Linked DNA regions of Callithrix jacchus. The protein of the gene in region 1 purifies or fractionates together with the protein of each later gene. This does not show direct contact. Links are inferred from orthologs where the notes say so. Each region holds a gene or a part of one and is shown on either strand. Other genes may lie near its edges.

What was found.
Region 2: the proteins of NCBP1 (region 1) and XPO1 purify together in Homo sapiens (affinity purification with western blotting; 3 studies listed by BioGRID and IntAct, with this or other methods). This does not show direct contact. The link is inferred for Callithrix jacchus from reciprocal best matches to the Homo sapiens genes NCBP1 and XPO1.
Region 3: the proteins of NCBP1 (region 1) and PABPN1 purify together in Homo sapiens (co-immunoprecipitation; 3 studies listed by BioGRID and IntAct, with this or other methods). This does not show direct contact. The link is inferred for Callithrix jacchus from reciprocal best matches to the Homo sapiens genes NCBP1 and PABPN1.
Region 4: the proteins of NCBP1 (region 1) and DDX39B purify together in Homo sapiens (affinity purification with mass spectrometry; 6 studies listed by BioGRID and IntAct, with this or other methods). This does not show direct contact. The link is inferred for Callithrix jacchus from reciprocal best matches to the Homo sapiens genes NCBP1 and DDX39B.
Region 5: the proteins of NCBP1 (region 1) and EIF4G1 purify together in Homo sapiens (affinity purification with western blotting; 3 studies listed by BioGRID and IntAct, with this or other methods). This does not show direct contact. The link is inferred for Callithrix jacchus from reciprocal best matches to the Homo sapiens genes NCBP1 and EIF4G1.
Region 6: the proteins of NCBP1 (region 1) and KPNA3 purify together in Homo sapiens (co-immunoprecipitation; 3 studies listed by BioGRID and IntAct, with this or other methods). This does not show direct contact. The link is inferred for Callithrix jacchus from reciprocal best matches to the Homo sapiens genes NCBP1 and KPNA3.
Region 7: the proteins of NCBP1 (region 1) and HNRNPA1 purify together in Homo sapiens (affinity purification with western blotting; 4 studies listed by BioGRID and IntAct, with this or other methods). This does not show direct contact. The link is inferred for Callithrix jacchus from reciprocal best matches to the Homo sapiens genes NCBP1 and HNRNPA1.

The regions. Positions count from the first base shown.
Region 1 is NC_133502.1:145,793,220-145,796,719, reverse strand, and holds part of NCBP1 (nuclear cap-binding protein subunit 1), read right to left. Parts: intron 3,428-3,500; coding exon 3,324-3,427; intron 953-3,323; coding exon 838-952; intron 1-837. UniProt on the Homo sapiens protein: Component of the cap-binding complex (CBC), which binds cotranscriptionally to the 5'-cap of pre-mRNAs and is involved in various processes such as pre-mRNA splicing, translation regulation, nonsense-mediated mRNA decay, RNA-mediated gene silencing (RNAi) by microRNAs (miRNAs) and mRNA export.
Region 2 is NC_133515.1:52,585,026-52,589,116, reverse strand, and holds the start of XPO1 (exportin-1), read right to left. Parts: upstream 2,801-4,091; 5' UTR 2,733-2,800; intron 2,538-2,732; exon of another isoform or gene 1,855-2,537; intron 1-1,854. UniProt on the Homo sapiens protein: Mediates the nuclear export of cellular proteins (cargos) bearing a leucine-rich nuclear export signal (NES) and of RNAs.
Region 3 is NC_133509.1:57,663,513-57,667,590, reverse strand, and holds the start of PABPN1 (polyadenylate-binding protein 2), read right to left. Parts: upstream 2,801-4,078; 5' UTR 2,788-2,800; coding exon 2,437-2,787; intron 2,073-2,436; coding exon 1,958-2,072; intron 1,243-1,957; coding exon 1,175-1,242; intron 858-1,174; coding exon 751-857; intron 254-750; coding exon 166-253; intron 81-165; coding exon 1-80. Other genes in the region: BCL2L2 (bcl-2-like protein 2), read right to left, coding at 3,280-3,360.
Region 4 is NC_133505.1:39,022,683-39,026,182, forward strand, and holds part of DDX39B (spliceosome RNA helicase DDX39B), read right to left. Parts: intron 3,331-3,500; coding exon 3,203-3,330; intron 2,913-3,202; coding exon 2,820-2,912; intron 521-2,819; coding exon 337-520; intron 287-336; exon of another isoform or gene 211-286; intron 1-210. UniProt on the Homo sapiens protein: Involved in nuclear export of spliced and unspliced mRNA. Component of the TREX complex which is thought to couple mRNA transcription, processing and nuclear export, and specifically associates with spliced mRNA and not with unspliced pre-mRNA.
Region 5 is NC_133516.1:13,299,283-13,302,782, reverse strand, and holds part of EIF4G1 (eukaryotic translation initiation factor 4 gamma 1), read right to left. Parts: coding exon 3,459-3,500; intron 3,173-3,458; coding exon 2,354-3,172; intron 2,093-2,353; coding exon 2,004-2,092; intron 1,914-2,003; coding exon 1,727-1,913; intron 1,648-1,726; coding exon 1,514-1,647; intron 1,421-1,513; coding exon 1,262-1,420; intron 1,098-1,261; coding exon 909-1,097; intron 730-908; coding exon 532-729; intron 320-531; coding exon 173-319; intron 1-172.
Region 6 is NC_133502.1:66,189,156-66,193,241, reverse strand, and holds the start of KPNA3 (importin subunit alpha-4), read right to left. Parts: upstream 2,801-4,086; 5' UTR 2,733-2,800; coding exon 2,664-2,732; intron 1-2,663. UniProt on the Homo sapiens protein: Functions in nuclear protein import as an adapter protein for nuclear receptor KPNB1. Binds specifically and directly to substrates containing either a simple or bipartite NLS motif.
Region 7 is NC_133510.1:65,268,001-65,272,101, reverse strand, and holds the start of HNRNPA1 (heterogeneous nuclear ribonucleoprotein A1), read left to right. Parts: upstream 1-1,301; 5' UTR 1,302-1,362; coding exon 1,363-1,377; intron 1,378-1,935; coding exon 1,936-2,052; intron 2,053-2,342; coding exon 2,343-2,489; intron 2,490-2,626; coding exon 2,627-2,837; intron 2,838-2,937; coding exon 2,938-3,030; intron 3,031-3,116; coding exon 3,117-3,209; intron 3,210-3,346; coding exon 3,347-3,421; intron 3,422-3,625; coding exon 3,626-3,781; intron 3,782-4,101. UniProt on the Homo sapiens protein: Involved in the packaging of pre-mRNA into hnRNP particles, transport of poly(A) mRNA from the nucleus to the cytoplasm and modulation of splice site selection.

The DNA.
Region 1 (3,500 bases):
GCTAGTGGCTACTGGGTTGGACAGCACATTTCTGAAACAGTGTGGCATGAGAGAAAGTCTCTGGAGTCTGACAGACCTGGGTCAGAACCTAGCTCAGTCATTAGCTATGCAACCTACTAGCTATGTTACTCAACTTCCCTGTGTCTCACTTTATACATCTACAAAATGGGATGACATCATTTAACTTACAGTATTTTAGGTCTGTGAGTGTTTATATCCATATATGTATACATGTGTGTCTATGTGGAGACTAGTACTCAAACTTGCTAAAGGTTTCTGTGAGGCATCAAACCCAGCTTTTATTTTTTCACCTTCTACTTTGATAAATATGCATAACAATAGAAAATACTGTCATAAAGAACAGTAGTAACATCTTAAGTCACAGAACGCAGCCAGCTCACCGCTTCCCTCCAAGATGGCTAAAATACTAAACTTAATACTATGAGAAGCATTCTGTTAACTTGGGATTGACCATCCCATTCCTCCTCATAGTATGGGGAAAGTATAAGTATCTATAGTCTTCTCCCTCTTCCCCCAGAGACTTCTACAAAAATACAAGCATTCTCTTCCCTTCTGCTACTTCCCTTGTACAAACACAAGGCTGACCCAGAGATGGCGAATGAAGGAAAGTAGTTTGTGGCTTCCTGAACTGGTCATTATGCAGGGTAAAAGCACACAAGACACTACCTGCTCCCTCCTCCTCCTCTGCTTCTGCAAACAGCTCTGCATAATTTGGGCTCAGAAAAAATGAAATACCATCAAGATAATGAACTCTGAATCCTCTCCAGAGTTTCTGGTATATTTTCTTTAACTATTTACGAGTTGACACAAACTTACCCGTTTGTGTTGCCTTGCAAGTTTCTCTTTAGCTTCTTCTAGCTCTTTCTGGATCTTCAAGACATGTTTGTTCATCTTACGAATTGTAGAGTGCAAGATTTCCCAAACAAATAATCTTAAAGAAATATGACATTTGATGATTGTATGTCAAGCTATCATTACGAAAATAAAACCTTTCAACTTTTATAATCTATTCATTCTTAACAGCTGATACAGCCTTCTGTCCTTTGGGCTGAATTAGTCCTATTTCTCCAGCAATACTTATGAATTGTCTTTTATTGCAAATTGTGCAAGTATCTATCGTCACACACGTTAGATTCAGGTGAGTCCCCCGAGGGCAGTATTGTGTAGTCATTTTTCTTATGTCCATCCCTTACAAGAGGTATATACTCACTGAATTGAAATGGCAAACTATAATGAACACTAACATTAAAAATGGAAATAATTTTTCCTCTTCTAAATGTAAACAATAAGTATAGAAATTTTCTCAAAATGGTGACCTAAGGTGAGACTCATTTCACATGCTTTATACTATTTAACTAGCATACACTCAGCCAATTATTCTCTTGGAACATTTAAAACTCATTAGTTGATAACAGATATCAACTGATGGGCTCTAAGAATGAGATCATCAAATGTCAGCTTTCTAACTAGCAAATACATACTAAGATCACTTTGTAGGTGCTTTCAAATGTTTGTTGTATAAGCGTTTCTTCTGTTTTCCTTTTATTTTTATTTTTTAAGTAGCTTCTTAGCTACTTTTGTATCTATCAATAGGTCTCCTAACTCAGCACAGAATAGTACAGTTGGCCCTTGAACAACACAGGTTTGAACTGTGCAGGTCCATTTTCACATGGGTTTTCTTCTACCTAAAACAACAAGACCAGCTCCTCCTCTCCCTCAGCCTATTCAATGTGAAGATAATGAAGAATAAGATCTTTCTGATGATCCACTCTCACTTCATGAATAATAAATGTTTCCTCTTATGATTTGCTTAGTAATTTTCTTTTCTCTAGCTTATTTTACTGTAAGAATATAGTATATAACACACAACACAAAATATGTGTTAATCAACTATGTTATCAGTAAGGCTTCTGGTCAATAGTATGCTATTAGTTAAATTTTCTGTGTAGTCAAAAGTTCCATGCAGATTTTTGACTGTGTGGGAGTGGGGTGGCTGGGGGTCAAGTTGGTGTCTCTAACTCCTGATATTGTTCAAGAGTCAACTGTACTTACTTCTACAAATTTTGACCCAAATAATAGTTTAAGTGGAAAATAATAAAGCAATCTGTTCATAAAACTCCAAGTCTAGAATGTTAGGAAATAGGACAAAAGAACACAGCGTGTTAACTCTGAGGGCGTGGAGAGTAGTCAGGGAAAGGTTTGTAGGGTTACAAATATTTGAGCTAGGTGTTAAAGAACAGATGGAGCTGTTGAGCATTATACAGATTCCAGAATGCCTGGGTTTGAATGCTGGCTCTGCACTTAGCTGTGTGACTTCAGGCAGGCTAAAGCACTCTGTGACACTTCCCTATTCTGTAAAATGTGGACAATAATGGAACCTCCTCTATGGTGATGTGGTAAGGTTAAAATAAACTGAAACTGTAAATCACTCAGGACAATGGTTAAAACATACTAGGTGGTTAGTTTAGTGAGAATTTACAAATATGAAAAGGTCCTTCTGTTGTCATTTGTGAAAGCCAACATGGCTGGTATGACAACCTTAGATCACACCCAATCACCCTAGCAATTCAGTATATTTCAGACCAGTGTCCTCTGGCAGTAATAGATACAGTGGAAAAGTTAAAGGCTGTGATTGATTTTTGTTTTCAGAACTAATTTGCTTTTCTTTCCTGCTTTGTGTGAACTCCTGCTGTCCTGGTCCTATCAACTGGAAAGTCCGTGGAACTTCACAAATAAGAATCAAATAGCAAAAACTTTCTTTCCTTAGGGGGAATGAGTGCAGAATGAATCTTCTGCATTGAACCTAAGATTATGACTGTGGTGAGAACCCCTTTTCCCCATCCTTCAGGCATCTTGGTACTCGCCAAGCTTTCCTGGATCCCTCCATGATTTGTATTTAACCTACTTTCACTTTGGTTTCTCCTAGTTCCTGGTGTGCATTCTAGATGCCATCGCCACTGAAGCTGGAACCCTTCCCAAGTCCCATCTGGACTGAGACTTTGCACATAGTTGGCTCTTGCTAGTTTTCTCTCCCAACAGTCTGGATCCTTCAACAGCATTTCTCCTTCACTGGCTTAGTCTTGATTCAACTTACGATTGTGTCCTCTAAGAGATGCTGCAACCCAACAGGCTGTGTATGTTTCTACTGCCTAGGAATTTTTGCCATGTCCAGTCCTACAAGACTGGACCATTAGTATATTAATATCAAACTAGTTTGAACCAGAATTTGAAGCTAATGTATGAGAGACCACACGTATATTAATTCTTAGAGAACACAAGTTTCATAAAGTAATTCATATTACCTGGTAAAGTCACGAGATAGTTCTGAAGAGAAGATCCAATTTGCTACTGCAGCACAATCAACTATTTGTGTACGAATCATCTTATCCACTAGCACAGCAATCATCTACAAAGAGAGAAGAATTATACAAGTAACACACACATACATGGCAAGACTGCTGCTATAAAAGTAAATAGAA
Region 2 (4,091 bases), on another chromosome or scaffold:
ATTAGGAGTTCAAGAACTGGTCCATTATTGACAAAACTGATGAGACTTCAAAATGTTTTGTAGTTGGCATTAAACGTTTTTAAACAGAATACTTGTTACCACACAAAAACCCGAGATCTAAATACTGAGGAAATACACATTTCACAAATAAATGTGTAAACTCTCCTCCACCTTCAAGTACCATAAAATTTAAAAGATCAGAACAATCTTAATATTTGAGGCTTAAAAGCAATGTCCACAAAGCACCAAGATCTATGTATCAAAAATTTCCAAATACTTCGGTTAAAAAAAAAAATGAACAAACTTTTCACCTATTTACTCCTACCACAGTTTAATGCCAAAACAAAAAAAGATTAAGAAAATGACTCTCTTCAAAGTTTCACTTTCAAATACACTGTCCTTACAGAGTTCTACGAATTAGATTTTGGTGTGAAAAACGAGATTTGGAATAGAAGGGTTTCAATACAGTAATTTGCCATCCTTAGAACTAGCGGCTGTCTTCGAAATAACCTACCTATTCTTGAACTGTACGTAGTACAGAAATGGCGGCTTTGTGGTCAATGCCAAGCACATTTAGTCCCCCAAATCAAAACGCTTCCGAAACATTCTTTCCACTAACAGCAGCATCCCACACTTAAGATATACAAGCAAACAACCATAGTGGGAGAGGTGTAACCATGAACGCTCTTTTCTCGTTGGGCTTTTCAATCCTAAAATCCACTCACTGGACAGCATACACTAGGGATTAACCAGTTTATGGATGCTGTAACTCTACAAGTGACCCCCAATGCCAGTTCTTATCCAAAAACCAGAAAATTATAACCGTTGCTTAATCCAACTTCACACTAGGAAAAAAAAAAAGTCGCAACAAAGCAAAAGACTTCTCCTTAGGTGTGTGGGCAATCGCCTGCTTCATTCAGGAGAAACACACCTCACTAGGGCCCGCCCTCCCCTGGCTTCCCACCCGAACCGATCGGCTGCACTTCTAACTATAGCACAGGGGAGCACGCACTCACCCCGCCCATACTCGGAGGAGGCATTTAGACCAGGCGCCTTAAGTTCACCGCCCCTTTCTCTGAGCAGCATGGCCTCGGCGTGATCAGAGGAGGTCCGGGCTGAGCCAGTACCGAATGCTTCCTCTACTACACCACTTCCTCCCACCCACCCTAAACTCAGACATCGGAATGAAGGAGAATCAGGGCATCCTACACTGTACAAGGCCAGCAGCATATGGTTTAACCAACTTATCACACTCAAACCCCTGAAAAGAAACTGTAAGACGGAATCCCACGTGCAGGTCCCTGAAAAATTTATCTTTCCTACTTCACATGCCACTCCGCAAAAACCCGGAGAGCTTTCGAGTTTCCTTGCCGGAGGAACAGGGAGTCGGCAGCCCCTCCCTCCCCCATCCCAAGCTCTCCACCGAGGGGGCCACGTGATGCAGGCGGACGTTTCAATGCTGCTGCACTAAATATTTCTGGAAACTTCCACTCCTAATAATTTACAGAGATGTTCCTGAAATCACCCCAACTTCTCCCCAAGCCGTGGGGCTGAGGAAGCCCTTCCATTTCGCGAGGCGCCCCGCTTAACTATCACGCTCCTCGTCCTCCTCCGCCGCCACCCGCACACACGAATGACCCAGCAAGCGCTCCCCTCCCCGCCTCCATCCCCCAGCGGTAAAAGCGGCTCCATTCAATCGCAGGCTCCATCGTGGGCCCGGCGCGCCCCCGGCCCGCCCGCCGCCTCCCGGGCTCGCTTCCCGCGGCGACTACAGCCGCCGCGCCCCACGCCGGCCTCCTCCCGCCCGTCCGCGACGCCGCCCGACCCTCGGCCCCGAAGACACAGTCGACTTACCCAGAGATTTAACCAACTGCTCCTTCCTTCCTTGTTGGGGGATTAGGGCGAGGGAAGGTGGGGAGGGGGGAAAGGGGACGAATCAAGGTGGGTTTCACAGTTTTCCCACCTTAAAAAAGGAAATTTCAAAAACGGAGAGGAAAAGGGCAAAAAAAAAAAGCTCAATAATATTTACTATTTCAGGGACGCTTCCCCACAACACACACACCCACCCGCCCCCCCCCCAAAAACAAGGGGAATTAGGAGGAATAAACGCTCCCGCCTGGCTAGGAGTGAGGGAAGGGGGAGGGAACGGGGTCAAGTCCTGAAGATTCAGCCCAAGGGGGACCCTCCAGCCACAGGCAGCAACAGAAGTGGCAGGAGTAGGGGGTGTAGAGTCCACACGGCCGGGGGGACGCTCTGCTGCCAGCTGCAGTCCGACTCCCCCCCTACCAAAACACGGCTCCCTCTCTCACGCGGCTCCGGCGCTGGGCCCCCCCACAGGCTCGCCTAAACTTTCCCCCCTTCTCTTGCTCCTCAGCGACTGGTGGCTCCCCCTCCCCCTCTGGGTGGTTGCACGGACTGCAGCAGCAAAGACTGGAACAGGCACGGCCGCCGGGGCTGTAGCTACTGTTGCTCTTGCTGATGCTGTAGCTCCCGCTGCTCCTGCCGCGGCCGCTGCAGCCGCTTCTCCCCCTCCTTCTAGTGCCTCAAACTCGGAACCGGTTGAAACCGGTTCAGACTGGGAGATTCCATCTCGGTTGAGTTTTCAGCCCATGGCGCCGCGGAGCGTTTGGAACCTGGGCCTCCGCCCCCAGCCCGCCCTGCTATTGGTCAGTTCCAGCCACAGCCACGCCATGAGCCTATCTCTCGTTGGTCCGAGAGCCAGTCAATCCCACCTCAAGTCTCCACACGAGCCCGCCGCTCCGGCCCCCGCCTCTTTTCAGCAGCGATTTGCCCGCAGAATGGGGGAGGGGAAGTGGGACGGGTCGAAAAGCAAGAGGAGAGGGGTGGAGGAGGAGGAGGTGGGACGAAGAGTCTGGCTGAGTAGAAAAAGAGAGTGAAGAAAATCCGCGTGGAGGGTTGGTTAGAACGAGCTGTCAATCAAACACAGCCCGCCCTCGACTTCCCTTCCCCCTCCAGCCCTCCCCCTCCCAGTGTCTAGTTCGCAGGCCCGGCCTTTCCCGCCGGCTCATTGGCTGGGCGCCTTCGGTGACGGAGAGGGTGGGGCGCAGCTCGTGAGCGTGTGGCGGCGCGAGTTTGATCGCTGCGCGCGGTAGCGTTCGCTTTGCTTCCCCCGGACTCGGCTGGCCTATCCCTACCGGGTCCCGCCAACCTGCGGGGCCTGAGCCAGCGGGAATCAGGATCCGCCCCTCAGATGGGGGCTGCGTTCGGAAAAGGGAGGAGACACCCAGTTGTTTAGAACTCAAAGCGGGGTGGAGAAAGTAGCGAAAAGAACACTTCCTAGGTAGGCCCCAGACCTCTCATCCATTTTAGAGGCCTGGGTTCGGGGCCAGGTAGCTGAGAGAGAAAGGTTGGGGTGACGCGCAGAGTGTGCATTTTTGGCGCCTTGTGATGTTTTCAGGGTCTTGGAAAAGATATCGAAATACTTCTTGGGAAAGTCTTAAAATTTCAACTCTGTCTCCCCGGGCTGGAATTTGGCCGCTTCAACAACCTTTCCTGAAAACCAAAACACTGCAATTCCAAGTGTGGTTTAACAGTGCATGTTTTGGCTGGGTGAGCTTTCATGCCAACTGCTTCCCACCTGGTGCCCTTGATCTGCCACACTCAGATATTTCTTTTACCCTAGATGCCCTTCACGTACTAAATCACCAAATAGTATTTTCTGTGAAAGTCACATGCATGTGGCCTTTGACGTGGTTGCCTCTCTGATTTGTTCCCAAGTGTCCTCCAAATCAGCTTTACAGATTGTTGTACGCTTAAGAGCAAATAGCCTACCAAAATTTACTAGGCTCATTGTGCCACCAAGACGTGGATAAATGGTTTATTAAATTAATAAAATTTTCCTTAGCAAATGTTCACTTACGATGGACTATGGCTAACCAAAGCATTACTTATTCTAACTCCCCCTCCAATAAAGAAAACCCCAACAACTCAATTCTTAGGTGTACCAGAATGATTTGGGATGATTTTCAGACCTAAGTTTTTTTTTTTTTTTTTGAGAAGGAGTCTTGCTCGTCGCCCAGGCTAGAGTACAGTGGCGCCATCTCGAGCTCACTGCAACGTCCAACTCTCTG
Region 3 (4,078 bases), on another chromosome or scaffold:
GTCCGTGCGCGGTAGCGGGCTCGTGGAAAACCCCGGTCTGTTGTGCTGATGCCTGGTCTGTTGGTTCGTTTTGGGATCACCTGAGTCAGAGATGAATAAATGAAAGCCTTAAAGTCAATCTGGAGAGTTTATACAGAACCAGAACAGCAATGGACAGAGGCTTACCTTGATCTGCCTTCCTCTAAATAGGGACTCATCTAAGGCCAAGGAAGTCCTCACTGACTCTTTGTCTGAGAACTCTATATATGCAAACCTGAAAAGAATTGTCATTGCATCTCTCTGAGGTTACAAATACCTCACAGGTCAAATTCAACTTACAGGCATGCTTTATTTTGGGGTACAATGTGGTTACATTTTTTTGTCAAAATTCTTTTAAATGGAAAATTTAAATCATTCAAAATCATTTAAATTTTAAAATTTCCAGCTATTCTTTGAAATTTTTAAGAATAGGACACACAGGGTCTGAATTTCCATATGGCCATAAGAGGCCAAGTAGAAGCTGCCCCTCCTACTCCCCTTCTATAGAGTTCGTGATCCCACCCACATCTAGCCTTCATTTCTGTTATCTGTCTGGCCTCAGAAGACATTTAGGTGCAACTCCTGATACATATCAACATTAATGCCATTATCTTCAATAACAAAGATTACCTGTGTTAACAGCAAATCACTTACTGCTCAATATAAAACATATTCATATATCTATTTTTACACCATAATTTAAATTACCTCAACTTACTTTCCTCTACTTACCCTTTGGGATGGCCACTAAATTTGTCACAGAGTATGGTAACACGGTTGACTGAACCACAGCCATGAAAGTGAGCTTCCAGCTCTTCTGCTGTTGCACCATAGTCCACCTGAGGAGAGGAGAGACATTTCACAGGCACCAGACAAATTCCTGTCTCAACAGGCACCCTGCCTAGCCTTTGATCTGCACCATCTACATACACCAAGGCACACGAAATCTGGTAATCTGGGGAACTAGGCCCTTTTCGTTCCAAACCCAGAGCCTCTGCTGTTTACTGATCACTCCATTACCTTCAACCTCCTTCCCACACTCCGTTCACACCCAAAACCACCACGTATCCCAGAGATGTTCCTTTCAGGACTATTAAATAACTTCCCAAAATAACTTGCCCCCCAACCCCAATCAGAGAGAGCCCTAGTTACATACATTGCCAACATAGATGGAACGGGCATCAGCCTCCATCTTCTCCTCAATGGACATGATCACTGGGCCAGCTATGAGGAAAAACATTAAAAAAAAAATATATACATTTGTTTTCTACTTGACCAATATATGCATTTCCACCACCAACAATATCCCATAAGTTCAGTGAAAGCAAAGATTTTGGTCTATTCTGTTTACTGCTGTACCCATAACCTAGAATAGGATTGTGCCTAATCCAAAGCAGGTACTCGCTAAATATTCGACAAACTTAAAGAATAAATTAATACACACTTAAAACAGTATAGGAATCTCTCCTACCTCCAATCAAGTCCCCAATGAATGGTTTACATTGAAATGCTTTTAAGAGTGAACAAAATTAAGTGGGCTGAGACTCTACATTTCTAGATTAAAGGGGAAACCCCTCCAGCTTGTTTTCTCTTAGAATCCTAACTGAAACGTCTCCGATTGGAGGAAAAACTATTAGATTTGAAGGTCAAATGCGAGCTGGCAACCTCTAAAAAGAAGGATAGAGGTAGACCAAGAACAAAGAACAGCACAATTATAACAAGGACAAAGGGAGGCAGGCACAAGGCTACCACCACCAAAATATAGGTTCTGCCTCACAAAGGTCAGAGGAACACACAACGGACTATGACCGCGGCACAGTCATAATAGCTCAGACAACCAGCTCCAGGATGCCAAGTATCTAACCCCACATTCCCCATCCTCCCTACAACCCTTCCAACCCGAGAACCCGGGCTCTGCGTGCAACCGCCAGTTACTCACCATTGCCTGGAGGTGGACTCATATTCATCTGCTTCTCTACCTCGTTCTGTAGTTCCTTTAGCTTCTCAGCTTCTTCCTCCATCTCCCTGACTCGAGCTTTGATAGCTTCCAGCTCCTAATACAAGTGGAAAGGGTATGGAGAAGAGCTTAAGAAGAACCAACGCAGGGGCTCTGCCCTGGTCTCGGCCGGAGCGCGGCCTCAGCCATGCTCGGCCATTTCCCTCGCCCCACGCGAGGGTCATGATGAAAAGAAAAGCAAGCTACCCTCTCTAGAACAACACTTGGCTCCCGTGACGCCCGAATCAAGCCAGTCGGGCCCCTTGTAGTGATCGCGGACCCATCCCGGCCCGACTGGGCCCCAGCCACGTTATTCCCCGCCCAACCCCACCCCCCGCCTGCCTCCCGCTCGCCCGAGCTCTGGGCCTCCCGTGACCCGGCCAGTCAGCCGCCGGCCTGATCGCTCGCCCTCCTTCCCTCACCGGGTCCTCAATGGCGCCGTCCCCCGGGTCACCCTCGACCAGTCCCGGCTCCTCCTCCTCCTCTTGACTGCCGGGGGCTCCCGAACCAGGCCCAGGGCCCGGAGCTCCCGGGGGGGCGCGGGGCCGGGGCGGCTCCTCTTCAGGCTCGGGCTCCGGCTCGGGCTCCAGCAGCAGCTCCTCAGGCTCCAGTTCCTCAGACTCCAGGCCGTTCCCGTAGTCCCCTGCGCCCCCCGGGGCCCCCTCCCCGGCCTCCCCACCGGCCCCGGGCACAAGATGGCGCCGCCGCCCCGGCCCGGAGCCCCGACCGCCCGCAGCCCCCGCTGCTGCTGCCGCCGCCGCCGCCGCCGCCATCGCCGCTCAGACTGGGGCCCGCCGCCCGGCGATTGGAGAGCTGCGCCGGCCACGCCGAGGACTCATTAGTCAAGCTGCCTGCCAGTCACCATGAGCTAGTACTCCATTGGGGAATATTACTTGGCAATCAAATAAGACCCCACCTCTAAGGCGGGGGTACTGCGCCAAATTCTCAAATCCCAGTAGGGGAAATCTGCCTGTCAATCAACACGCGTCCCACCTCCTATCGAGTCCTTAGGTAACAATACCGCCACGCTGTGACGACATTCCTACTTCTCCCCGGCCTATGGGCGGGCCCGCGAAGTATAGGACGCTCCGTGATTGGCCCTAGCTAGGCGACTGGAAAGGACCAATCTTCCGATCGCTTCACCGCCGTGGCCCAGTCTTACATGCCGATTGGCTCGCGAGATTCGAAGGGCTGACATTCATTTTGTGACAGGCGAACCTTGCCCCCGAACGGACTGCTGGGCTTCAAACTTGGGAAACCCGAGGTCACATGACTAGCCAGTCCTCAGGGGGCCGCCATCTTGGTACTACTGCTGGCTGGCTAGTGAGCTGTTGGGCGGACGAGGCCTGAAACAGAGCGGCCGCTTCAGGAAACTTGTATCCTGACCAGGAAGAATCAGTAGATGGGATATTGCTGAAAATGGAGGTTGTGAATGGAGCATTCCAGGAGGGAGCTTACTTTCCCCATCCAGGTTATTGGCACCATCATCCACTAGCTCTCCCACACCAGAAAGCAGGAAGGATTGCTCAGTCCAGAGCTACTTGACACGAGTTCTGTCTTTCCCGCCCTCTTGCGTAGGCCTTCTGCTCCCTAGTTCCATTTTCTTCTCTTGAATGGGCAGCTTCCAGTGTCTCCCCTCCAGTCTGCACCACTAACAGACTGGCCCCTTTTGCTGGTGAGGTAAAGTCTCAAAACTGTAAATCACTGCCTTTGACACCCCAGCATGTGATTAATTTACACCCTTCTCGTTCCATTGGGTGTACAGGCACCCAGTCTGTGCCTCTAACACGTAGTCCCTCTTCAAACCCCAGCTTCCACTCCTTTCCCAGGACAAGTGGGCCTACCTCCACTGTGCACTTAATGGTTTTGTGCTGTTTCCTAACTAGGTTGTGAGCGCCTACAGATGAAGGGCTGGATCTTATTTATATTTGCATCTCCACGGCCTGGCAATATGCCTACCACATAATGTCCTGTTGAATGTTTGTTGACTGAAGATGCACTGATTGGAGATCTGGGTGCCACCCTTCATTTCAGCCCTCAAGATTCCAGAGGAATTTCTCCTGG
Region 4 (3,500 bases), on another chromosome or scaffold:
CCATAAGGGTAGACAGTCTTCTCCTTCAGTTTAGAATATCCCCTATGACTCCCAGTACAGAAATATTTAATGGAAAGGGTAGTGGTGGTGACGACTTATGCCTAAATTATCAAAGTCCCCTATTCTCAAAGGTTAAAAAGAAATCATAGAAAGATGATAGATGACCCCCTTACTGTGCTTAAAAGAATAAAAACCAACCAGGGAACCCAGAGCCATCAGTCATGGGTGATAGATAAGAGTCGTCCTTACACTGAGGTGCTCCTGTTTCAAATAAACATCATTTGGCTCCAAAGAACAACTCCCCAGCATTAGCCAAGCCCCAGCACTGCCACTCACCGAGCTGTTCAAGCATTTTATCGCATTCATCCAAAATAAAGTGTTTAATGTGTTTGAGGTTGAGGCTCTTATTTCGAGCCAGGGCTAGGATACGGCCTGGAGTCCCCACGACGATATGCGGGCAGTTCTTCTTCAGCACCTCTTCATCCTTCTTGATAGACAGACCACCAAAAAACACAGCAACCTGCCAAGCCAAGAGCAAAGAGTCTCAAAAACAAGGAAGGAAAGAGTCCAATCCCCCCAGGGTTCCCACTCTCAGTTTGAGCTAAACCAATTTTTAGCATGTTTCAAAACTACAATAAACTTTTAGAGGTCACCTAATTTAAAAATTTTATGTCGCCCCACCAAACACTGAGGTTTATAACAAAAGTGATTGCCTCAAGTTACAGAACTACTCAGAACAGTCAGGACAAGAATTCAGTTCTTCTGACTTAATCTAACCATCTTCCTTCATTTATGAGGCCAGGCTTCATTTAAAAAATCAAGGAGCCAGGTATGGTGGCACATTCTTGTAATCCCAGCTACTTGGGAGGCTGAGGCACGAGAATCACTTGAACCTGGAGGCAGAGGTTGCAGTGAGCCACGATCTGTACTCCAGCATGGGTGACAAGAGGGATACACCATCTCAAAAAATAAAAATAAAAATAAGGCTGGGCTCGGTGGCTCACACCTGTAATCCTAGCATTTTGGGAGGCCAAGGCAGGTGGATCACTTCAAGCCAGGAGTTCAAGACCAGCCTGGCCAATACAGTGAAACCCCATCTCTACTAAAAATACAAAAATAACCCAGGAGATTGAGGCAGGAGAATTGCTTGAACCTGGGAGGCAGAAGTTGCAGTGAGTGGAGATCAAGCCACTGCACTCCAGCCTGGGCAACAGAGGGAGACTCCACCTCAAGGAATAAATAAAAAATAAATATAGGCCGGGTGCAGTGGCTAATGCCTGCAATCCCAACACTCTGGGAGGTCGAGGTGGGTGGATCACGAGGTCAGGAGTTCAAGATAAGCCTGACCAAGATGGTGAAACCCCATGTCTACTAAAAATACAAAAATTAGCCAGGCGCAGTGGCGGGCGCTACTCGGGAGGTTGAGGCAGCAAGAAACACTTGAACCCGAGAGGCAGAGGTTACAGTAAGCTCAGATCATGCTACTGCACTCCAGCCTGGGTAACAGAGCAAGACTCTTGTCTCAAATAGTAATATAGTAATAAATAAACAACAGCAAGAAATCACCAGATGAGTGTAAAGTACCACAAAAAACACACGAAACATCAAGTTATCCTAAATAAACCCAGAATCTCCACACAAACCCCATGAAATTATTGCTTGAGGTTAAATATTATCACTCCATGTTAAATCCATTAGGTGAATAGTTATTTAGGGATCTGGGCCTTGGTACGCTATCAAGTAACACCAGAAACTACTTTCTAGTTTCAAGGGGGAAAAGAAGAACCATGGAATCAAACTGTCATGACACTAATCCCACCGTAAATCTAAAATCTCTAACGAGGCCAGGCGTGATGGCTCACGCCTGTAATCCCAGCACTTTGGGAGACCAAGGTAGGTGGCTCACTTGAGGTCAGGAGTTTGAGATCCACCTGGCCAACATGGTGAAACCCTGTCGCTACTAAAAATACAAAAATTAGCTGGGCGTGATGGCACTATGTAGTCCCAACTACTCGGGAGGTTGAGGCAGGAGAATCACTTTAACCTGGGAGGCACAGGTTGCAGTGAGCTGAGATTGCACCACTGCACTCACAGCCTGAGAAACAGAGAACTCCACCTCGAAATAAAATAAAAATAAAATAAAAAAAGATAGATCAACCAGATTTGTGGCATAACAGGAGATACAGCATCACCTATGCAGCATTCTTGCCAAAAATGCTTAACTTAAATTTAAAAACAAAAAAAATTTTTTTTTTTTTGAGACCAAGTCTCAAGTCACCCAGGCTGGAGTGCAGTGGCACAATCTCAGCTCACTGCAACCTTTGCCTCCCAGTTCCCAGGGATTCTCCCACCTCAGCCTCCCAAGTAGGAGGGACTACAGGTGCATGTCACCACGCCAGGCTAATTTTTGCATTTTTCATACACAGGATTTCACCGTGTTGGCCAGACTGGTCTCGGACTCCTGACCTCAAGTGGTCCACCCACCTTGGCCTCCCAAAGTACTGAGATTACAGGAGTGAGCCACCATGCTTGGCCAGAATCCTCAAAATTCTCACCACTGGAGCTGTTTTTAAAGTTTCTAGCTTTCTCTGCCACACACCTCAAAATGATCAAACTGATAGGATTCAATTCAGTATGAAGTAGTAAGAAAAGGGTGGTCTTGAGCATCATCCATAGCCCACTTATGAAATGAATCCTCCTGTTATACAGGATCTTAACACTCTGTTAAACCAAGGCAAACTATAGTTTCTCCAAAATTAAGTTTCTCATCCCTCCAACTTGCCACATCCTCACTCTCAGGTCTCTTTACCTTGACTTACCTTGACATTGGGCATATATTTAGAAAAGCGCTCATATTCCTTGCTGATCTGAAAAGCCAACTCCCGAGTGTGACACATCACCAGCACAGACACCTTAGGCAGGAAGTAGATGGAGACATACAGTAAGTACAGCCCTTCATTATCTCCTCTAGGGAAGTGATTGTCACAAAAATATACCTGGCCAGTGATAAATGACTTTAATTCTGTGACCTAAATCATGAACTCTATGCTTGCAACAGAACATTCCCCACAGCTGTCAGGTTGTCAAGGCTAACAGCGGTTATGTGCTCATGGCTCTGCAAGCATCATGTAGCTAGGACAAAAACCCCTTTCCCTTATAATCCTAACCAAAATCCCTTCCCCAGCACTCTCCCCAAATGTACCTGCCCAGTAACTGGCTCCAGCTGTTGCAGTGTGGCCAAGACAAACACTGCTGTCTTTCCCATGCCCGACTTGGCCTGGCACAGGACATCCATTCCCAGAATGGCCTGAGGGATGCACTCATGCTGGACTAAAAGAAGGGGGGAGGAAAGATAAATTAGACTCCAGTCTCCAGATAACTCTACCACCTTTTTCATCATGCCAACCCCATTCCTTACCACTCAATTCTCAAAGTCTAGTATGTACTTGGTTCTTGACAACTTCCAGACTTTCTACCTCTCTCTGCTCCTTCAACCACAT
Region 5 (3,500 bases), on another chromosome or scaffold:
CTGTACTCCAGCATGGGTGACAGAGCATGACTCTGTCACAAAAACAAAGGAAAAAAAGGTCCTGACAGAGCAACTCCCAAGACACCACTATCTCCATTCCAAACTCCGCAGCTGAGCAGCTCTGGCTGGGGGAAGGCGAGCAGAGTGGAACCGGCAGCGGGTTTTCTCTCACCGTAGCAGCTTCATCCATCTCTTTTTGCTTCTTCTCAAAAACCTCATCATCATCTTTGTCTTTCTCAAACTCCTTCTGACATCGATTCAACAACAGCTTTCGGAAGTTCACAGTCACTGTTGGCTTTTCTGTAGTGGGCACTTTCAGCTGTAGGTGAGAGAAAATGTCACACTCAGAGCAGTCCAGGGCAGGGAAGGCCCCCCAATAGTCTTTAACTACCTGACCCTGGAAGATCCCTGGCCCCAGCTCTGCCTCCTTCCAGCTGGAGGGGCCCAAGTTGGAGGGAACCAAGAAGCTGGACTCAAGGGAAGAGAAATGAGCAACTAGACCACGAGACTTCGAACCCAGTGGACACTAACCGCCATGAGGCAGCGGCACATGTTGGCATAGGCCACAGAGAAGTTGGGCTCAGAAATGGCCTTCTCAAAAATGAGGTCAATGACCCCTTTGAGGCGTTCCTCGGTGTCGATGGCCAGCTGCGTCACTTGCTTCATCAGCTGCTGGAACATCTGGGGTGTCAGCTTATTTAGGATGGAGCGCACCCTGCGGAATAGGTCCTGGAGGGAGAAGAGACACGAGTCCCAGTGATGGCCTCAGCATAGCCCGTTGGGTCGAACCACAGAGGATAGCAGGGACTTAGGCATGACAGATGCTGGTGATAAAGAGAAGCAAAGAGGACACAGATGGCAGACCTGAAGAAAAACGGAGGGAGATGGAAAGCAGGCCTCGCCAGTACCTGGGTTTTGCTGCCGTCAGCATCCTCTTCCCCTCGATCCTTATCAGCTGCCGTCCGCTTACTGCTGGGTTTCCAGGCTTTCTCTGCTTTGTTTAGTTTTATATCTTCAGTCATTAACACTGTGGCAATGATCTTGCGTGGTTCCTTTCGGGGGCCCTGCTGAGAGCGCCGGGGTCCCAGGCCAGCCTGCTAAGCAAGGAATGAAGGTAAGAGGGACATGGAACTAGTCAGTGCAACATGTGACACCACTACTACACACCTCCAGGGCCAACCTCTCCCCGCCAGCACTGAACACAAGGGAGTCATCCACCCCCACTCCTTGCCCACCTGCCCCTTTACCCAGCCCCACTCACCGGCCCTCGGGGCAGCTCCCCACCTGGCCCACCCCTTGGGGGCCCACGGGTGCTAAGGGCTGGCCGGCCAAGGTTGGCAAAGGATGGAGTGAAGTCTGGACCGCAGTTTATGCCTTGCAGTCTAGCAGGATCCAGTGGCCGCAGTGGTGTTTTATTGGCCTGCGAGAAGACAGGAAAAGGTCTCAGAAGCAGGCTCCTCCCCAGTCCATCCAGCGCAAACTTACCCTCCCCTCCCCGACTCAAGCCACCAACCTTGTCCAGCACCACATCACTGATATGGGGCAGACCCTCTGGCTTCTGCATACTGGCAAAGATGAACTGAAAACCAAGCAGGAACTCACGGTCGTAACGTTTTTTCTCCTCCAGGTTTAGGGGCTTCCACTGATCTGCAAAGAAGACAGAATGAAGCATCATACTGCCTCCCAGTAAGAAAACTCACCATTCTCAAGCCTTTCTTCAGCATACCTGATTTATATTCATACTTCTGTTCGCCAGGCTGGATGTTCTCAGCATTATGAATTTTGTCTTCCTTTGAGTCCCAGGTCTCATCTGCTTCCTCGGGACGTTGGGGCACACTGCTGCCCTCAGACTCCGGGCCTGGATTGCTGCCTGCGGGAGGCTGATTTTCCACCTCTGGTACTGCCGGGTTTGCCTAGAACAGAACATCCAGTTTAGGCTGCAGAATGACCGCTGTTCCACACCTCAACTCAGTGTTCTCCCCTCCCACCTTCTGCTCCCTTACCTCCTTGAAGGCATCCAGAAGGTCTCCCACAGCCTCCTTCTTATTTAGCTCCTTAATTTTCCGTCTCCTCTTTGGCACAGATACTGCCACTAATTTAAAAAAATAAATAAAAGCACAGGTCTATGCCAAGGTTTTAAGGAGCATCCTTAATCCCTGGGAAATAAAAAGCAACCAAAGCACAACACCCGCTTCCATCACCCTCTTTAGGTGTGAAAGTCCTGAATCCAATTCTTAGATTCCACTGCAGGCCTCCTATAACCCAAACGCACAGCAAAAATGGAAGGTCATCAAGGAGGGCGAGGAACCATGTCCCCTAGCCAGCCTACCTCTCCTGACCAACCACACCTTACCTTGGGTGGCTGCTGCTGCCTCCAAATTCTGGGACAAGTTGGCTGGGACAGGGGTACTCTCTTGGGGAAGCAGTTCCTCTCCTCCCTTCTCACTCTCAACTTCTCCTGCTTCTCCTTCCTCCTCCTCTTCTTCTTCCTCCATTTCCTCCTCCGGAGCTGGGGAAGTAGCTGAAGGAGCCATAGCAGGAGTGGCAGAGAGGACAGTGGGTGGAGTCACTGATGCTGTGACTTCCTTGGCCTGCTCCTCTGGCTCACTGACTGGGCTTAAGTCCACAGCTGGTGGCGAGGGGGCTCCGTTGAGCAGTTCCTCAGGTTGGACAGTTGGAGCGATGGGCACAGGGGATTCGGAGGGGCAGGCTGGGGGAGGAGCAAGCTCTGGGCTTAACTCCACCTCTGGTTCCAGATCTTCAGATGGGACCATGCCATTAGGCTCATGACTTTCCACTGTGTGAGATGCCAGAGGGTTGGAAGCCTGGAGAGGACTGGAAGAGAACTCAGATTCTGGAACTGGTTTGCTAAGTGTCACTTCTACTTCCAGTATGGGTTCGGCGAGAGGAGTGGGTTCTGGAGAGAGGCAGTATGGCTCCCCAGTTTCACGGGAGATGGGGGCTGATTCCTCTACAGACATTTGTATCATCCCCGTTGTCACAGTGTCCCCAGGAAGAGAGAGGACTGCGAGATTAGGCTCAGACCCCGGTTCCAAGATTGGGGATGGCGATGGGGTCGGAGAAGGTGATGAAGGCTGGGATTCTGAAGGGCTGTGCTCTGGGCCAGGCAGCCCTGGCCGGTCAGCAATGATTGCTCCCTGTGACCGGTCATCTGCACCACGGGAAAGAAGAATGAGTGACTACAGGCAAGTCCTTCACTGCGGCTGTTCCCAACCTCCCAGCCAAGGCATTCCCAACTTGACACCCCCCCCATCATCTTTTCCCACCTAAGCTATACTTCCATTTTCATCCAAAATCCAATTCACCCTCAAAATTCCACAACCTGAAATCTAAGTCATTCTTCTCTGGTACCCAGTTCAAGACACTCAACCACCCCAGCATTTAAACTGTCAACATTCCTTTTCCACATAAAAGCTCCGTCCCACCCTCTTACTTACCTGGCCGGACAATGACAGCAACCTGGGGCGTCTCCCCATTAG
Region 6 (4,086 bases), about 80 Mb from region 1:
TTTACCCTTTAGTCTCTCTCTCCATTTCTCTCAGGACTTTTCAATTACTGTTCCCTCTAGTCTGGAATGCCCTTTTCTTCCACCGCACTTCTCCTGCCCTTTGCCTGGCCACCTTTCTTTCATCCTTCAGAATCAGCTCACTCCCATCTATTAGAAGTCCACCAGAGTATCTTCCCTGTTTGCTCAGCTACAAGTACTTTTCTCTCATGTATTTTCGAAATGCTACACTGTAACAATTGTACTGCATTGTAATTAACACCCCCACTGAATGAAAACTCCTTGAGGTACAGACTGCATCTTATCCCTTATCCCAAAGACCTAACATTGATAGATACTGAATAGACAATTAGTGAATAAATAATGCCCATATCCACTGAGTGACTTGCACAGGCTACATAAGCACACTGAGGTTTTGCATCTAAAGTTCCATCTGGGTGTGATAGCTCAGCATCTGCAGTCCCAACACTTTGGGAGGCTGAAGTGGGGGAATCACTGGAGCCCAAGAGTTCAAGACAAGCTTGGGCAACAAAGACCCCATCTCTACAAAAAATTAAAAATTAGCCAGGTGTGGTGCTGTCCACCTGTAGTCCCAGCTACTTGGGAGGCCACAGTGGGAAGATTCCTTGAGCCTAGAAGTTTAAGCTTGCAGCTGAGCTAATGAGTGCCTGAGTACTCCAACCTAAGTAACTGAAGAAGACTCTGTCTCAAAAAATACTTTCCTCATGTAAAGTAGGGATAACGCCACTCCTAACTCATACACTTGTTGCACAGATTAAACAAGGTATCCTGAAACTCTTAACACAGCATCTGCCACAATAGAACTACCATTCGCATGTCTATTTCATGTCTTAAGTTACCCTATAGAATCCCAAGAAATGTAGTGTTGTGACCAATACCAGGCTGAATGGCTTAGCAACCATGCTCTTTTTCATGCATCTAAAAGTTACTGGTTACTTGTTATCATCAGCAAATATTTGTTGTGTACCTAGTATGTGCAGGAGTCCTTACTAAGTATCACTGAATTACCAGAACAGCGTAATAGAGGTAAACAATGAAACAAAAACCTGTACCAATATCCAAGAGCAGAAAAAATGTTATTGGTTTTAAAGTACAAACAATATGAGTATTTTTCAATAAACTTTTATTTGAAACGAGGTAGACCTCAAGAATGGGAAAAGTTCAAAATTAACACTTATCATCAGGACAGGAGGCAGTTCCAAAATTTCTTGTTCCTATTCCTAAGTTTCACTTTTGCTTAGATTTCTCTCTCACAAGGAGTATTTAACCATGACCAGGAAAGAATACATGATCTTTATTTGACTCATTCAAATGGGAATTCCACGGATATCTCCCCAGGTTTTTTCTACTAGTATTTAATTTTGTAGCTCTGAAAAACAGCCTGAGTTTGTTTCTCTACAAAATAGAACGCTGAATGGTATATACAACCCACCACCTTCCTTAGGACAGGATAAAATACTCACCTCTTAATCACACTAGCCTCTTAGCAAAAACTACAAAACTGCATATCATGTCACCCAGTATTAGAAAAGAAGGCTGTAGCCTTAAACCATTTTCCCCCTAACAAATCCAAAGGTCACAGGCCCAGTGAAGTTTGTGCATGTACTCATTGCTTTCAGCAGCTGCAGAGAGACCTCTAGCGCTGCCTCAATAAGCCGAGTTTGCAAATAGTACCTGCTAATGTCACCTTAATGAGACAATGGCAACATGCTGAGTAGCAACGAACTGAGTGACCGCGATGAACGCTTAGTTTTGCAACCACTTGGAAATTCTACTAGCTTGTAGCAAGAGGTATGTGAGAGGACTTATGAACCTATGTATCCAATTTATTTCAGTAAAATGTGTCAAAGAAATTATCACCCTATGCACACCCTACTCCAAGAAAGGCTAAGAAAATAAGTCCTGTGAGCGGAGGTCGGAACAACCTCTTTTCCAACGCCTGAACACAATAGATGGCAAACTATTGTCCACCTTCAGCTCGCTCCAAATACCAGCAGTTGCAGGAGTATGAGCTGGAACAGCTCGGCACGACTAGACCAAAGAACAGCACTGGAATATAAGAAAATAGTCCTGGCGCATCCTACCCTCCCCCATCCATCACCCTCAAACAAGTCAGTTACCCGGCTGGTCCCCACCCCCCTCTGCGGGCCGCCACCGCCCGCCAAGGCCCGGCTCCCAGAAGGTAGGAGCCGGGACCGGCAGAGCCGAGGCTCCATGCGCGGGAGGCACCGAGGGGGCTGCACCGGGCGGAAGGTTGCACTGGCGGGCGCCAGCAGCAACCGCCCCTCGACTGTGCGGTCGTCGGCCCGGGGCGGCAGCATCCCCGTTCGTCCGCGCGGCCACCGCCCGCGGACCCCGCCTCAGCTCCTCATCCCCTCCTCGCCGACATCAGGCCGCGCCCGCGTGACAGGGCCGAAAACCCCGGCATTTCCCGGTCGCCGGGCCGGCAGCTCTGGAGGGTGGCTGCAGCCCCGCCCGCGTCCCGCCGCCCGCTCCGCCCAGCCCGGGGCCACGGTGACGGGAGGCGGCGGCCAACTCCGGCCGACCACAAGCTGGCGAGAACCAGCCCGGCGCCGGCCCTCCGCCCCTCCTCGCGTCGCCCAGCGGAGCGGCCAGGCGGCCCCAGATCGCGGAAGCACACTCACTTCCACATCGCGGCCCTTGTTCTTGAAGCTCTTGATGCGGTGGTTCTCCAAGCTAGGGTTCTCGGCCATGGCTGCGCGCGGCTCCGGCGGCGGCTACTCCTGAGGCTGCGGCGGCGGCGACGAGTCTCGGCGCGGGCGGGGGAAGAGGGGGAGAGCTGGAGGGAAAGGAGGTGGGGGGGAAGAGGAGAGCACGTTCCGTGACGCCTCCGAGCGCGAGGTGGCAGTAGCGCCGGGGGAGGCGCGGACCGATAGCCGGGCCGGGTGGGGCGGGAACGGTTCTAAGAGTGGCGCGCGCCCGCGGAGGCTGGCGACACGTGACTGGGGGCGGCGACCGGTTTGGGCGTTTTCGGGATGACCCTGCCCTCCTTCCCTGCAAGAGCTCTCCACAACCTCACGGTGCCGCAAGTCCTGTGCCAGAAATGGAACGGGACTTCGCGGCTTTTACCGCCCCTCAGGTGCGGGTTGGCGGTCGTCAACTACAGTTCCCAGCATGCCACGATCCGCCCGGAGCAATTCTACTTGCCTAGGGAGGACGAGGAGCATGCCGGGATCGCTGCGCGCGGCTGTTTGCGCGGCGCGCTCATATTGCTGGGCGCGAAGTCCCCCCCAACGACCCAAGTCCGCCTCTAGGCGGGGAAGAGGTAGGAGGTATCCTGGCACTTTGTGCCCTATCAGGAGGAAGAGGGCGGGGTTTCCTGGGAGCGCATCTCGCTGCCTGTAGCTAGAAAATCAGAAAAAGAACAACCGCTGGTGCTTCACTGTCTCGCTGTTTTGTGGGGGTCTCCTCAAATAGCAGCCACCTTCATTCACTGTTCCCATGCTCTGCTTCAGTTTTATAAATAGCACTTATTTCTACCTGACATGTACGTAAGTATCTATGAGATATAAGTGCAAGTGTTTATGTGCGTTACCTGGCTGCCCGCACGGGGCATTCAGCTCAATGAGAGCAGGTACTTTCGTTGAATTGCTGCTGAATCTCTAGTGTCAAAACAATGCCTAGCGCGTTGTAGATACTCAATAAATACTTGTTGAACGCCAGCTCAACAACGACACTTTAGTGTCGCCCAGTTTCTTCATCATCCTCCCAAGCCAGGTTCTGCAACCTTCACTCTGGCAGTTCCTGCGTTTCCATGCCCCCAATTCTTCTTTTTCTACCACCACACATAATCTTAGCCCTCAGGCAGCAGTGAAGCCCTGGGCCGCAGACTCTCCCGTGTAGCACTCCCACTCCCCACCGGGGGCGTGGAAGGAATGATGGAGGGAAATTTGGATAAATTACACTAATAAAGAGCTGCTTTGGCCGGGCGCGGTGGCTCACGCCTGTAATCCCAGCACTTTGGGAGTTCGAGGCGGGCAGATCATGAGGTCAAGAGTTTGAGACCAGCCTTGCCAACATGTTGAAACCACGTCTCCACAGAAAATA
Region 7 (4,101 bases), on another chromosome or scaffold:
GCTTCCTTAGAGAAGTCACTGTGGATAAAACATTCACCCTCACACGCCATTACATTCACCGACTCCCCTTCCTCACAACCCCAAATCGAAGACCTCCCTCTTCTGGAGTCGATTGGACGACTGGTCCGAGCACTTTCCTTAGGCTGTCCGTCTACTGGCTCCAGATTCGGTCCATCAGTTTAACCGCCCGACTCCCGCATTCCCCATTGGAGTCAAACCGCTGCCTCCTGGAGAAGCCCAACCTACCGCGCGCTTCGCGCTTACTGGCTCAGTGAGACGCAGCTCAGGAGGGGAAACCCGTCTCCCACATTCCGATGGCCCCAAGGGCCCATCAGTCGGCAGCTCAAGGCAGACCCAATTGGCGTATACGCAAGCCAGTCAAAGTCTTCAGCTGCACCGCTCCAAAGAACCTACAGGGATTAAAACATCCCGCCCCCTGTTCTTCTATTGGTTGGCCCGACCCACCGCTGCCCTTTCACTATCCCCCACCCCGCGGTCCATTCATTTCACACAATAACGGGCCCAAATAGAGTCAGTTCGAGACCTACGATGGGTAGAGAAGACTGTCTGCCACTTACCCGGGATTGAGAGTGATCACTCACGCTAACGTCTGCCCTGTTGCTGTATGGTGAGGCCGCAACGCAAGCCACCACCGCCACCACCTTCTGCGCAACGCCAACCGCCCGCCAAAACGGATCCTTCCCTGCGCCTGCGCAACCAATCCGGGAACGGACCCTTTCTCCGCCCACCACGCATGCGCAAAGCTGGAACCAACTCCCGCCAATACGCAGGCGCCGTAGGGTCACTGCCTAGTACTGCCCGCCATTTCACGTGTTCCCAGAGGCTGCTGGAAGTTCTTAATGCGCCTGCGCAAAACTCGCCATTTTACTACACGTGCGCTCAACAAGCAGTCAAAATTTTGACCTGCTGGCTAACTGCTTTTCTGACACATAGTGTTAATCATGCTTTGCCAAGCGTAATATTTGTGCGGGGAAGATTAAAAAGGCGTTAAACACCCAAGGTATATTCAAATATGAATGATTTATCGGCTGGCCAATCAGACTGGTTAAGAATAATATTACTCGGGAACCAATGAACTCCAAGGGGTGGAGAGGGCGTAGACCGCCCAAAGGAATGACGTTACACAGCAGTGTGGCACCACAGGCCAATAGTAGGGGGAAGAGATTTCACACATCCAATCAGAACTGTTCAAGGGCGGAGTGTACCAATGCTGAAAGGGAGGAGGCGGGGTAAAAAAGAAAGGCCGAAGGTAGGCTGGCAGATACGTTCGTCAGTTTGCTCCTTTCTGCCCGTGGACGCCGCCGAAGCAGCATCGTTAAAGTCTCTCTTCTCCCCGCGATCATGTCTAAGTCAGAGGTGAGTTAGGCGCTCTTTCCAACTTGAATTTCTTCCTCTTCCTTTCCTGAATTGGTAAGATGCGGCTTGGTTTCGTTCCTTTCACCAGCCCATTCTACAGTTTTTTAGGTTGCTGCCACGGCCTACCCCTCCCAAAGTTCAAGTCGCCATTTTGTCCTGTTGATCGCCATGAGGCCGCTCGCGCCAATCATGAGTTATTATGCAGCACTCTATAGTCTTAGCAAAAATTCTTACGCACATAAGGCTTTTCCTTTTCTAAACCTTGCTTTGGTGAGCGAGTTTTTAAAAGAGCGATTAGTCCCATTTTGGCGATGTACCCCTCCCGCCTAAGCCTTTGTTGCGCGTGCGTCGGAAGGCGACTAGGGACGCATGCGCTTTGGATTTCGCAGCACTCCCAACCCCCAACATACCTTCTCCCCTGTTAGAGAGAAGCACATGGCTTGTTGCAATCTGAACGAACAATAAGTGCTACATACACAGTTGTCTAGTTTTGATTTTCCTCGATGGAAATTGTTTGGTGTTACAGCTCATTTAACACTTCCGCCTCCCCCACTGTAGTCTCCTAAAGAGCCGGAACAGCTGAGGAAGCTCTTCATTGGAGGGTTGAGCTTTGAAACAACCGATGAGAGCCTCAGGAGCCATTTTGAGCAATGGGGAACGCTCACAGACTGTGTGGTAAGAATTGGAAGGGACCAAACAGTAAAATAGTGGATTTCCTTGGTTTATCTTGGGGCGGTTCTCTCTGAATACTTAGGAAGGTTGTTAGTAGTATTATAGCTAGAGCCTTGTTGACGAAGGAAAGTCCTGCTTTGTTTGATAGAGTTACCTCTTAAACCTAGGATAGTGGGAAACTGGAGGGGTTTTTGTACAGGGCTGGTATAAAGTTTCCTATTCCCTTGTTCAAAGTTAAAATTACAAAAGTTTTTGGGGTCAGACTTTGTTACATGAATTAACACTGTTCTCAGGTCATGAGAGATCCAAACACCAAGCGCTCCAGGGGCTTTGGGTTCGTCACGTATGCAACTGTGGAGGAGGTGGATGCAGCCATGAATGCAAGGCCACACAAAGTGGATGGAAGAGTTGTGGAACCAAAGAGAGCTGTCTCAAGAGAAGTGAGTGGTTTTTTTACCCTTCAATTCTTTTGGCGATGTGCTGCTAGTGTATTTGGATTCAGGAGTTTTGTACTTAAAAATTTTTTTATTTGGGTGTAGGTTTGGCTAATCTAAACCTGTGGTTTTCCTCCTATTAGGATTCTCAAAGACCAGGTGCCCACTTAACTGTGAAAAAAATATTCGTTGGTGGCATTAAAGAAGACACTGAAGAACATCACCTAAGAGATTATTTTGAACAGTATGGAAAAATTGAAGTGATTGAAATCATGACGGACAGAGGCAGTGGCAAGAAAAGGGGCTTTGCCTTTGTAACCTTTGACGACCATGACTCCGTGGATAAGATTGTCAGTAAGTATCAAATAGTGGTATTTAGTAAGGGTTCCGCAGTCCATGTGGCGTTCTAAACCCTGAGACCATGTTGTACCTGTCTTCATTTTTTTTTTTTTAGTTCAGAAATACCATACTGTGAATGGCCACAACTGTGAAGTTAGGAAAGCCCTGTCAAAGCAAGAGATGGCTAGTGCTTCATCCAGCCAAAGAGGTATGCTTATTGCTTCATTAAACCTTAAAAGCAACTTTCAGTTACTCCAGTATGAATGATTTAACGTTTAAACTTCATCTCTTTAGGTCGAAGTGGTTCTGGAAACTTTGGTGGTGGTCGTGGAGGAGGTTTCGGTGGGAATGACAACTTTGGTCGTGGAGGAAATTTCAGCGGTCGTGGTATGTACGGCTTATTTACCTGTAGTTCTGACTTCTTACCATCTTTGCTATGCAGGTTTTACAGTACAGGAAGTGCATCCAGAATGTCATTTGATATGCAGATCATGCTTAAAACTTAAAACTTTGTTTTCTTCCAGGTGGCTTTGGTGGCAGCCGTGGTGGTGGTGGTTATGGTGGCAGTGGGGATGGCTATAATGGATTTGGCAATGATGGTAAGTTTTTTAGGAATAAGTAGATAAAAATTCCTGGCAACCTGTGTCTTTAGAATAGGTTAGTCAAGACTAAAATTCTAGTGCATGACAAGCTCAACTTTTCCCATAACACGCATGCTGTGAGCAGGCCTTCAGCCATTACACTTGCACAAGTTTTCATTGTCAAATACTTTTGTCTTATTGAGAAGAATTGTATTCTTGTAGGTGGTTATGGAGGAGGCGGCCCTGGTTACTCTGGAGGAAGCAGAGGCTATGGAAGTGGTGGACAGGGTTATGGAAACCAGGGCAGTGGCTATGGCGGGAGTGGCAGCTATGACAGCTATAACAACGGAGGCGGAGGCGGCTTTGGCGGTGGTAGTGGTAGGTATCCAGTGATCCAAGTACTTGGTGTGACAGCTAGAATAGCCTTTTAGAGCTTGGGTTCTTGGTGCTGTTGAAGCATTGTCTGGTACACTGCATGGTATATTAAATGGGCTTGCTATGCTACCTCCTCCTAGCTTTAAGCTGGGGCCGCCTCACTCCCAATTAGTAGAGATAAGTGGATAATGGTGTCTTTGAGTTAGATTAGTGTCATAGAAGGATTTAGTATCTTAAATGCTTTGGGACCTTAGGCGCTTAGTTGATGGATCCAAGAAATTTCTGATTGCCTGTGGCCCTAGATCTCCCATGAAGGCCTTCAA